3 linked regions of the Coturnix japonica genome follow. The protein of the gene in region 3 binds, or shares a complex with, the protein of the main gene of each other region. Links are inferred from orthologs where the notes say so. Each region holds a gene or a part of one and is shown on either strand. Other genes may lie near its edges.

What was found.
Region 1: APBA1 (region 3) and LIN7A share a complex: the UniProt entries of both Homo sapiens proteins name them as parts of the brain-specific heterotrimeric complex. The link is inferred for Coturnix japonica from reciprocal best matches to the Homo sapiens genes APBA1 and LIN7A.
Region 2: APBA1 (region 3) and LIN7C share a complex: the UniProt entries of both Homo sapiens proteins name them as parts of the brain-specific heterotrimeric complex. The link is inferred for Coturnix japonica from reciprocal best matches to the Homo sapiens genes APBA1 and LIN7C.

The regions. Positions count from the first base shown.
Region 1 is NC_029516.1:36,419,053-36,422,800, forward strand, and holds the start of LIN7A (protein lin-7 homolog A), read right to left. Parts: upstream 2,212-3,748; 5' UTR 2,133-2,211; coding exon 1,832-2,132; intron 1-1,831. UniProt on the Homo sapiens protein: Plays a role in establishing and maintaining the asymmetric distribution of channels and receptors at the plasma membrane of polarized cells.
Region 2 is NC_029520.1:3,029,636-3,033,283, reverse strand, and holds part of LIN7C (protein lin-7 homolog C), read left to right. Parts: intron 1-1,361; coding exon 1,362-1,480; intron 1,481-2,499; coding exon 2,500-2,571; intron 2,572-2,910; coding exon 2,911-3,120; intron 3,121-3,648. UniProt on the Homo sapiens protein: Plays a role in establishing and maintaining the asymmetric distribution of channels and receptors at the plasma membrane of polarized cells.
Region 3 is NC_029547.1:31,216,933-31,220,680, forward strand, and holds the start of APBA1 (amyloid-beta A4 precursor protein-binding family A member 1), read right to left. Parts: upstream 2,567-3,748; 5' UTR 2,414-2,566; intron 1-2,413. UniProt on the Homo sapiens protein: Putative function in synaptic vesicle exocytosis by binding to Munc18-1, an essential component of the synaptic vesicle exocytotic machinery. May modulate processing of the amyloid-beta precursor protein (APP) and hence formation of APP-beta.

The sequences.
Region 1 (3,748 bases), on a different chromosome or scaffold from region 3:
CACGTCACATTCTACCACTCCGTGATGCCATATCTCCTCACGCTACTGTCAGCCCTGGCTGACAATCAGGGAGTCCATAACACCAGCACCCCTGCCAAACATTTAGGCATATTCTGGACACAGACAACAGATGTTTACATTTAAATTTGGACTAATTTGCATTTTTGTGTATTGTGATTTTTTTTAAAGCACTGTGTTAGCGATGAAAAGAAACGCGTAATTCTGAAATAGTAATACTTTCCTTAGAAAAGCCAGGTTTGCTAATGGATTGCCATCTGTTCAGCTCTTTGCCAGGAAATAGATTTGTCCTGCTTACTGAAAACAGTATTAGGGTGAAACTGTAGATTACACAGTGGATTTCTGAACTGTTTAATTTCAAGCGCATGCCAATAACAAACGCTTTGTTATTTCAGTAAGAATAACTTGAAATTCTCCTTTTCTAAAAACGTTGAAATTAAAACTATTCAGCAAACTGTACTTAGAGTACAATAGGAAAAGGTTCATCAATAGAGGGTGTCAGGTACTGGAACAGCTTCCCCAGGACAGTGGTCAAGGCACTGAGCTGACTGAGTTCAAGAAGTATTTGGACAATGCTCTCAGACACAGGGTTTGATTTTGGGCGGTTGTGTGTGCAGCCAGGAGTTGGGCTCAATGATCCTTGCAGATCCCTTCCAACTCAGGATGTTCTGTGATTCTGTGAAACTCTGAAGACTGCTTTGCTCTCGTAAAGCTCCAGTAAAGGTCCCTGCACCATCTTTCTCACCTTGAAACCGGGTTCATCAGGCTTCTTTTGCATAGGATTTACAGGAAGATGCTCTCTATCTTGCTCTGAAAGCCTGTCTTAATCCTCTAGAAAGAGCATGTAAAAGAAAAAGCGGCACTGGCCTAAATCGTGCTTTCAAGAGTACAAGATTTATACATGTTCAGAGCCACTGGGCTCCTTGATGGAAGTTAAGAAAGATGCATCTGCAACTCAAGAAACTGTTTTGGGAGCTGTGTGACCTCTTTAACTCACAGAGCCACAGAAGCAAAACAAATCAGACATCAGGTTAAGTCCTTCTCCTCTGTGACCACAGAAACTAAACAGCATTTTTGCTCGGCCTTGCAAGCGGCGCAAATGCATCGCAAGGGAGCCGTCCAATTTTCACAGCCTGGAGGCGAAAACTGAATTTAAACAAAAGTTCACGATTTCAGCACCTCTTTTCATTACCTCGGTCAGGCTGCTGACACAAACTCAAGGCGAGCAAAACATCAGCCGCTCTCTCTCCGCGGACGGAGCAGCAGCCTGCAGGCATGCACAGCACCCCGGCAGGGTAGCATCACACGGAGTAATAGCATCATCACACGGAGTAATAGCATCATCACACGGAGTAATACCATCACACGGAGTAATACCATCACCGTCAGCTCACAACGCAGCACTCCCGCACCGACCCCAAACGCCGACACACGCTCCCCTTACAACCGGGCGCCCGCTCCGCCCGCCCCAAGCGCGGTGCCGTCTCCGGACAGGTGCGGATGTGCTGCGGCTCTCCAGCGGCAGCGAGGCAAAGAGAACCGAGCTCACGGCCGCGGGGCACCTGCGCGCAGCCCCAGCCCTCGCCGTGCAGCCCTACCAGCGTCCCCCGGCCGCTCCGCGCCGCCGGACAAACTTTCCTCTCCTCTCCTCGCTCCGGAGCCCCGCGGGGAGACCCTGCCCACCCACCCGCCGCCTCCAGCCCTTACGGCGCGGGGACGGGCGGGCCGTCACGGCAGCGCCCGCCGCCCGCCTCGCACGGAGCCCCGCGATGTTCCCTCGGTCGGGCCGGGGGGCGGCAGCCGCCGCTCTTACCTCTGTCCAGCGTGAGCGGCTGGACCGCGGTCAGTGTCGCCATGTCTGCGGCGGGGCTGGAGCCCGAGTGACGCGCGGCTCCGGCACCGGCGTGGAGCGAGGGGAAGGGCGGGGAGGAGGCTGGCAGGGAGAGGGGGCGGAGGAGGAGGGTGGCTCCGTGGGAGGAGGAGGAGGAAAAAGAGGAGGAGGAGGCGAGCGGGGCGGAGAGGGCGCCCAGCGGAGGGCGGCTCAACGTGGACGGGACTCCGCGGTGCATCGTGCGCAGGGCGGCCCGGCGGGGCCCGGCGCGGGCTGCCGGCATCGCTGCGGTGCGCACCGGGACCCGGCGGGAGGCCGCCGAGCTCGCCTCAGAGCGGACTCCCGGGGCTCACGGCCCTGAGGGACGGGCGGCGTCGGTGACAGCTTTCTGGGGCCGGGGGCGGCGGGCGAGGGGCGGTCCGTCTGTGGCCCCGCCGCCCGGGGGTGCCGCAGCGGAGCGAGGGCGGGGAGCGGCGCAGCGCCGCCTGCGGGAGCGCAGCCGGGAGCTGCGGGGAGAGCCCACGGCGGAGCCCCTCGCAGGGCTGCGCTGCACCGGGGCTTCCTCGCGCCGCCCTTCGGACGGCACTGCTGTAGTCAGCACCGTCTTCAGCCCGGAGCCGCGTATGGGCTTCTGCGTGCTCCGGGCCGTCCTCAGGGTATCGCTCGATATCTCCTAGAACGCGTCCCATACAGTTCCACAGCTCGGGCTTGAAAGGCATAAAGGGAGAGAGGTCGATCGTGAGTCGAGGTCACATCGTGCGGGTGGATGTGCTCAGTTTGTGCAGGCCTGAGCGCTCATCCTTCAAGCTGAGCTTAGCGGTGGAGCCGTGCAGGGCTGGTTGTGCTGGCCGTCCTTAGCCCGGAGCCCAAGGGCAGCCGTTCTGCCTCTCCAGAAAGGGACGTGCAGTTGTGCTGCCTTCCACTGTGAGCAAGTGTGCAGAGAAGTGACAGTGGAGACCTGAGCCCCCTTTGACTGCCGTCCTGTGCAGTACCTGCGTTGCTGCACTTGCCCAAGAAACGCCAAAACTGGGAAAACTTTAACCCAGAGAGGAATGTAGCACTCTGCCTCTCGTTTACTGGGGGCACAGCACAGGGAATGTGAAAATACAGCACAAGCAGACTGTGCATTGGTAACAGCTGTAATTGCCGGCGTATTTAAGCAGTAGTAGAGGTAGTTAGCTAGGGAAGCTGTGGAAATGTTGTCACTAAAAGTTTTAAGAGATTAAAAATACATATGGCAGTATTAAAATTAGAGAGAAAAAAAATCAAGAAACCAGCTCCTGTCAAACAGTTTTTAAGATCAAAATTAATGTGAGGATTTCTATTTTGTAGACTTTATATACTTGTGGAGCAGCTGGATCGACGTAAAGCCTAACAGTGCCTCTTACACAGTCACACTGCTGCACACTGGGTTCACCAACCTTAGAAGGGAAGAAATTCACGTTTGGAGCTGTAACAGTGTAATGTGACAACACTCGAACTGTTCTGATTGGTACACGTGTAAAATTATGTTTAAATAATATTAAAAGCAAGGTGCCAGGTTAATTAGTTGTTTTTCATAGGGAACGTCGTAACCCTTAGGCTTGCTCTTTTAATCTGCCATGTTGTCAACAGACTTCTTGAAGCAAAATGCAGCTATAACAGTAAATTTTCTATGAATATCTGTGTAACGCTAATGCCAAATATGTCGCCTTTTAGAAATACACAAGTTTAGCTAATCTACTGTTTGTGCTTGAACTGTGGAAAGCAAGAAGCTTATTCCAGCTTTATCCTTTTTTATCTACCCCTGGTCAGATTTCATGTGCTCTGCCACAGGGGCTAATTGGCACTCAGATGAGAGACTTGAATGGGAGTATTACGCGCACTCAAGGAAGATGAAAAAGCAGCATTTGCTGGAAT
Region 2 (3,648 bases), on a different chromosome or scaffold from region 3:
AAACACAGCAGACTTGGAGTTAGCAATAGCCGGGGTTTCAAATGTGATGCGTATTTGCTTAGATACCTGATCCTCTTAACAAATTGAAAATGCTTCCTAAATAGTGAGGATGAACTTGAGCTCTCATCTGAAGCAATGCGTGCGACTGCAACTGTAATATTCGGGTGCTGTTCCATGAGTGATTTACATCCTGTCTGTGATACAAACACAGCTTTAACTGTGCTGGTGGATGACCAGTTCAAGAAGTTACATCATACCATCTTTAAATGACTCTAGCGGCTGCTATGAGTGTCTGCGAGATATCTAACTGATGCCTTACAGAAGTGGGCAGCATGAACTGTGGGTTGTCTTCTGTCAGTGCACCTCAATTTCGGAGTGTAACAAGATAGACATTGGTCTTGAAGTTTGTGGTGGCTGCTTGTCTATTTAGTGGCATTACAGCAGCACAGAAGATGTTCCACGTGAAAAATGATTCCCTGAAGGTTAATTATGGAAAAGAGGAAGTAATGTATTTAGGACATAATCATGCTCCAGACTTCATCTTCTAGAATGATCTATGCCTTATTTATGCGGTAGATTAATCACTGCTTCTGTCTGCCTTTCTGATAACGAAGATCATAATGTCTACCTGCTTTTCTGAGAGACTGTTCTACTGCTATTCATGGACTTAACGTGATTCAGAAGAATGGTCACTCTAGAAATGTAAGTGAGGAATATTAATCCTTGCTACTCTTGAAGAGCTGCCTGCAGAACGCCGCATAGCTTTGATGCCATGTTTGATGCCCATCTTGCTCGGTACTGGTCTGAAATCAAATTCTTCAGATGAAATTTTGGTTTCACTGATAGTTTTGGTCTTTCAGGACATGTCAAGAAATGAGGAAAAAATGTTGAGTTTGGGGATCTTTACTACAGAACACTCAGCAGAGATCGTGGAGGAATTTGGGTTCTTTTTCCTAGCGCTTTGATACATCAGGCACATTGTAGGTGGAGGAAGTAAGAAAGTATTTTCAAACTGCTATGAGGTTTAATCAAGTTTTTACCATTCCAGCTGCTGTTTGGCATCCAATTAATATAATTACAGACTACTCATGCCCAAGTCAGCCTTTTTTGTAGGGAAAACATTGGGTGTATTTCTGGTAAACTAGTTTTTGAATGTAAAAGGTATGTTAGTTTGCTTGGTGATACTATAGATTGCTTTGACAAAATGATAGCCATACATTACATAAATTACGGAGTTTTATGCATACAAAACAGTGCTACCGCATTAACTTTGTTTAAAAAGCAAAAGCAAACAAAGCCACCAGTAGGATCTTTTCAGGCATTGCTCATAATGAACACTTCATTTTTGTTTTTTTCTGTAGATATCTGCAGAGCAATTGAATTGCTGGAAAAATTACAGAGAAGTGGAGAAGTGCCACCGCAGAAACTACAGGCTTTGCAAAGGGTCCTTCAGAGTGAATTCTGTAATGCTGTAAGGGAGGTAAGTTAACTGTGTAAGCAATTAGCTTGCATTAAAAGTGGTACCTTGAAAAGTGGAAGTGTTAATGCACTGAACTTCAAAAAACTGAATTTGACTTATGGAGCTTTATAGAAGACGGCTTATTTTTTACAAGTTGAGAAGAAAACAGTTTAGGGGTACTATAGGTGTGTTGTATTAAACAGTATCTGATAAACAAATTACTTCTTGGAGGTTATTTGGAGGTTATCTAGCTGCCTTGCTGGCAGGTAGTGCCCTGTTATCCTGTTGGCTGGTAAGAACGGGCAAAGTATAAATTGCCTTTTCTTTTAAGCTAGATTGGCATCATAGCTTTGCACACCTCATCTTCGTTCCTGATGCTCTTTCAGTAATTTGAGATGATTGAATGCATCCTCCTGTTGGTGGCGGTGATGGTGCTACCACTGCTGATAACACCTGCAACAATTTGCAAGATCTGTTTGTGGACGTGGAAGTCCTCTTGATGTTTTCATCTTATGAAGGACTGCGTTTGTTGTGTTAGCTACCACTAACCCAGTTAGCATTAGTATTCTTATGGCCTTTGTGTTTTCAATAGCCTTTATTTTCATTATGTATTCAGTTGGTTGCATCAGGTGAAGGGAAATACAGATTTGATTGTTGGGTGAGCTTTGAAGATCCACCCTTGCATAATTTTTCATGCACCCTTATGGAAAAGTCCAATTAAATCAAATATGAGAAGTTAGTCACCCACATCTGCTGTCAGATGTTGTGGTGAGGTCTGTATACTTACTGAGTGAGAGGATTTGGGTTGAGACCTAGAATGTGTGTGGCTTATCTGAGCAGTAAAGATATTGAGAGAGTTGTTTCTTCATAGTATGGTAGATACTTTACTTGGCACCTTGCAGTGAATCAGGGAGTCATTTGCTAAAGGTGTTTGGTTTGGTTTTTTTCATGTATGCAGTTTTAAGTTGTAACTGATTGTTATGTTACCTAAGCAGAAAAATAACTCTTTTCACCGTGCTTAAGTTGTCTTATCTTTAAAGGTGTACGAACACGTATATGAAACTGTGGATATCAGCAGTAGCCCAGAAGTGAGAGCTAATGCAACAGCGAAGGTAAACGCCAAACTTGAGTAAAATGTGTTAATTTGTTACTTTAGAAGCAGAGGAAAGGTATTTAAAATCCAGAAATGTATTATCTAGATGTTTGGTCAAATAGATAAACATATGAGGTCATTAAAAGGGATAACAAAAGACATTTTTTAAAAGTTTTTTCCACTTATATTGTCTTCGTTGAGTTCTAATTTTTTTTTTAATCCCGATGTTGTTTAAGAAATTGATCTGATTATTCTTAATATTTTAGCACTTTAAGATGAAACTAATTTTTCAGCCTGCTCACTGTGTCAAGCTGAGGAGTTTGTAGTCGTGTAAATAGCAAGATCTTATTTTTTACAGGCCACTGTAGCTGCATTTGCTGCTAGTGAAGGTCATTCGCATCCCAGAGTGGTTGAACTGCCAAAAACCGAAGAAGGTCTTGGATTCAACATCATGGGAGGCAAAGAACAAAATTCTCCCATCTATATCTCCCGAATTATCCCTGGTGGTATAGCTGATAGGCACGGAGGCCTGAAACGTGGAGACCAGCTCCTTTCTGTAAACGGAGTGGTAGGAATTTTTTCACTTTCTATAGCAGTAACTACTTGTCTCCACTTGGGGGCATACGTAGAATATTCGTGGCACAAGCTTGAGGTTGTCTTTCGATCCTAGCAAAACTGCTTCTTATTGTCCTCTCAAGAACATCTTCCTTAGGTTTCTGAACCTAGTTCTGTGCAGTGAGAGTTCTTGGATTATGCTTTGGTTACATTTTTCAACTGGGATGGGTACTATTTATGTCAACGTTTCAAATTCTGAAAAGTTGTATAAATCTGGTAGGTCTTGTTCTGAAATAGTATTGAACTACCATTATGGCTTCCTGTTTTATCCAATTTGATGATGCAGGTTTTAACTTAGTTTTCTGCAGCTTCAAAGGTAAGTAGTAAATTATAATGCATGATGGTAGACTGAGCAGGGGCTCTTTGTCATTATCCCAGTAGGAGCACTACTGCTTAATGAAAGCTGTAGAAAGATGGAAAAACAAGGTGGTGTTATCTTCAGTTATCTTTACTTAAGTGCTATAAGCTTCAAAACCAAGAT
Region 3 (3,748 bases):
TAGTATGAAGCAAAACAATCAATCTGTTCCACAGAAACCTTTAACCTGTACACAGTACGTATTACACACAATCTGTTAGAAATAATGAGCAGAGGATTGCTTGCTAGATCTCTGATTAAGCAGAAATCTTCATCTTCCGTAAAATGAGAGAACCACATTTAAAAATGCATTACCAGAACATCAATGCTTGACTTAAATCGACAGTAATAGGATCTCGTTCAAAGTTAAGCCTCAATTAATCTAGCTGCACTGCTTATGGGCAATGTTTATTACACTGTTTGAAGTTAATATTATATAACCTATTAATATTTTTTAATTTGGGGGGGGATGAGGTAGAGGGGAAAAGAAAAGGTCTGATTCTTCTAATTCATAATCTAGCATCAATCCAGAACAGATACTGTCAATAGCCATCAATCTGTGTGCTGAGCAAAGAGATGCCGAATCAGATCTTTAAATGTTGAGACAACTAGATACAAGCAGAAAGCTTGAGCACTTGCTTTGGTTTTCCTTCATGACTCCAAAGCTTATTGTATTTTTTTGAAGGGATTGCTGGTTTGGATACTAACCCTGAATGTACACAGACAGAGTAACACCCCAGTGCCAACCTTCCTGGCCAACATTTCTGGACTTACTGCTCCATTTCCCTGTCTTGTTTGCCACAAATACTAATGCACGCTGAGACAATCTCAAACCAAGTAACTAAAATACCGCACATGAACAATCTCACCGACCTATTAAAAGCACAAAACAAGAAACTCAGCAAAAATTTTTTCGTACCTGCATGTCTTTTATGCAGCTGGTAGAGAAGCTGCTTCTAAGAAGCAAAAGCTAACTGTACCTTAAAGATGGACACAGCTTTCATACTGCAGGCTTTCTGAGTTTAAGAGTGCATCACTGTACATGACTGTGGCTCAAAATGGTATCAATGAAATCAGAAGCCAGTTCCTTGACCAACTAAAATGCATTTATAACCAATACTGTGCTTATCTCTATTTCCACAGTCTTGTAAGGGGCCAGCCTTCTGTCTGCAACAGCTCAACAGTCTGAAAAGCATTTATATTTTAAGTAAAGACAGTGTTATAATGCAAGACAAATGCTTCAAAATGCAACTCACAGCGCCCAAGAAAAACTCAGACCAATAAACTGCACGACCCGTACCACGCAGCCGACCTTGAGTTGCCATTACTTTGTGAAAATCAGGTTAACCTGAAATCTCTCAGATCCCCCAACTTGGGTTACACGGTTCCAAGGGAGGGAGGCAAGCTGCTTTTTGCTCTGTTTCTTATTTCAGCCACTAAACATGCACAGTACCCTACCCAAAGTGCATCACGACGACGCATTTTCTGCTCTTGTCTTTTCTATGGTCTCCCACTACAGCTTGCATGACGCTCAGTTTCTGGGTTTAAATATGCACTAATGCACCAAAGAACCTTCTGCCACCCATCACTTTCATGCACTGAGCTGCTGGGCAGCTCCTCCCCACTGCCTAACACGGAAAAATGTGAATGTGTCCGTTGCTTTTTGTTATCTGCACATCACTAAGATGTAACACACCTGGAGAACAAGCAGGTTCTTTGTCAGCACCAGCGTCTAGGAAAACAGGGTGCTGCTGCCTGTTTCAGCCACGGGGCTGCAGAGGCAGGTGCAGCCGTCTCGGATTTGACAGCAATGCAGCAGAACTTGAGGTATTGTGACAGGGATATTTTCCAGGGCAAGCTGCTGGGGACCGCAGGCCGCATCCGCCAAGCAGGCGCAAAATCGCTGCGGCACGGGGCGAGCTCCCGTCAGCGGGCACAGCGCGATGGGCGCACACCGGGCAGCAGAAACGCAGTACCCGGCCTGCCCTACACCCACAGCAGCTCCGCGCACGCACAGCCGGCGGACATCCCTCTGGTTGCTCAGCAGCGGCGAGAGCAGCCGGGTCTGAAACCAACTGCAATCCTACAGCCCTGCAGGAGGGAGAGCAAAAACGCTGCAGATTTCCCAGCCGAGGCCCGAGCTCCCGCATCTCCTACGAGGCAGGCTTACGTACGAGGGCGGCAGCACAGCACAGCGCTGCCCGGACCGTCCCTACTAACGCTGATCCTTCCAGAAACAGCCGCAACGCGCGGGGCCACCGCAACCCCGCCATATCCGGGCCCGCCGCCTCCCCCGACCCGCAGCCCCGGGCACCGCAGCCCGCCCGCCGCTCCCTGCCGCCGGGCACGGCGCACGGGGGAGGAGGGGCGGCCCCGCAGCTCGGCCCGAGCGGAACGCACAGCGCCGAGCCGGCTGCACAGCCCGCACCCGCCCGCCGCTCCTCGCTCGCGGAGCCCCCACGAGGGAGGGGCGGCCCCTCCCGTAGCCGTGCCGATGGGCACCGCCAAACGGGGTCCCGATCCCGCGCCCAGATCGCGGCCCGGCCCCTCCGCACCTGGTGCGGGTCCGCGCCGCCTCCTCACCACGCAGGGCGGCTCCGGCGGGGCTGGCAGCGCAGCGCGGGGCGGACAGCCCGGCAGGCAGCGTCTCCTCCCGCCACCATCTTCCTCCGGCCGCCGCCCCCGCCGCCAGCACCGCCCGGCACGGCCCCTCCCGCCGCTCCGCGCCGCCCTTCGCGTCAGCGCGTCGGCCGCCGCCCTCCTGGTCCCGCGGCGGTGCGGGGCGGTGCCGCCATGACGGGCTGCGCTGGTGGGAGCCGAGGACATGGTGGCCGCGGGCCGGGCTCATGTCCGCTCAGCGGGTCCCCCGAACGCCTCCGGTGACTGGGAGAGCCCGGCCCGGAGCCCGACCCTGCCGCGGGGGGAAACAGTGGCTGCCCGGCAGGCCCCGGGGCAGCCCTTACCGCCCAGCGGCGGGCAGAGCTCCGAGACAGGGCGCGCTGCGGGCGGCATCGAGCATCCGCCCGGCGGCGTCCGGCAGGCCGCGGGGCGCTGCCAGGCCCATCACCCACTGCCCTGCCGGGAGGGCTCACCAGGGCGGCTCGCTGCACGCAGCTGCTTATTCCCTGTTCACACATACAAACGTGGCATTAGTCGGAGGATATCGTGGTATTCAAAGAGAACCATTAAGGATCATCGAGTCCCAGTTCATGGCTCCACGCAGGACCACCTGAAACCTAGACCATGTATTGCTAGGAGTGCTGTCTGGATGCTCCTTGAACTCTGTCTGCTTGGTGCTGTAACCACAGACCACACCAGCATAAGGTGAAGAACCATTCCTTAACACCCAGCCTGACATTCTCCTAACACAGCTCCATGCTGTTCCTTCAAGTCCTTGAGAGAATGCCTTACATGTGTGGTATTTAAAGCAATATTGGCTAGGTAGTAATGACTAAAATAAGTTCTCCTATGAGGACAGGCTGAGAGAGCTGGGACTGTTCAGCCTGGAGAAGACAAAGCTCCAAGGAGATCTGATAGTAGCCTTTCAGTATCTAAAGGGGGCGGCAAGAAAGAAGGGGGCAGACTCTTTAGCAGGGTCTGTTGTGATAGGACAAGGGGAAATGGTTTCAAACTGAAAGAGGGGAGATTCAGATTGGATATAAGTAAGTTTTTTACAGTACGAGTGGTAAAGCACTGTAACAGGTTGCGCAGAGAGGTGGTCAGTTCTCCATCTCTGGAAGCATTCAAGACCAGGCTGGACAGAGCTCTGAGCACCTATGATAATAGTATTCATTTGGAATGTTCCCTGCCTCCTAAAAACATACACAGAAGAGGCTTCCAGTTTTGTTTTGTTTTGTTTTGTGCTATCACAGGGCCTGTGATATGCTTTG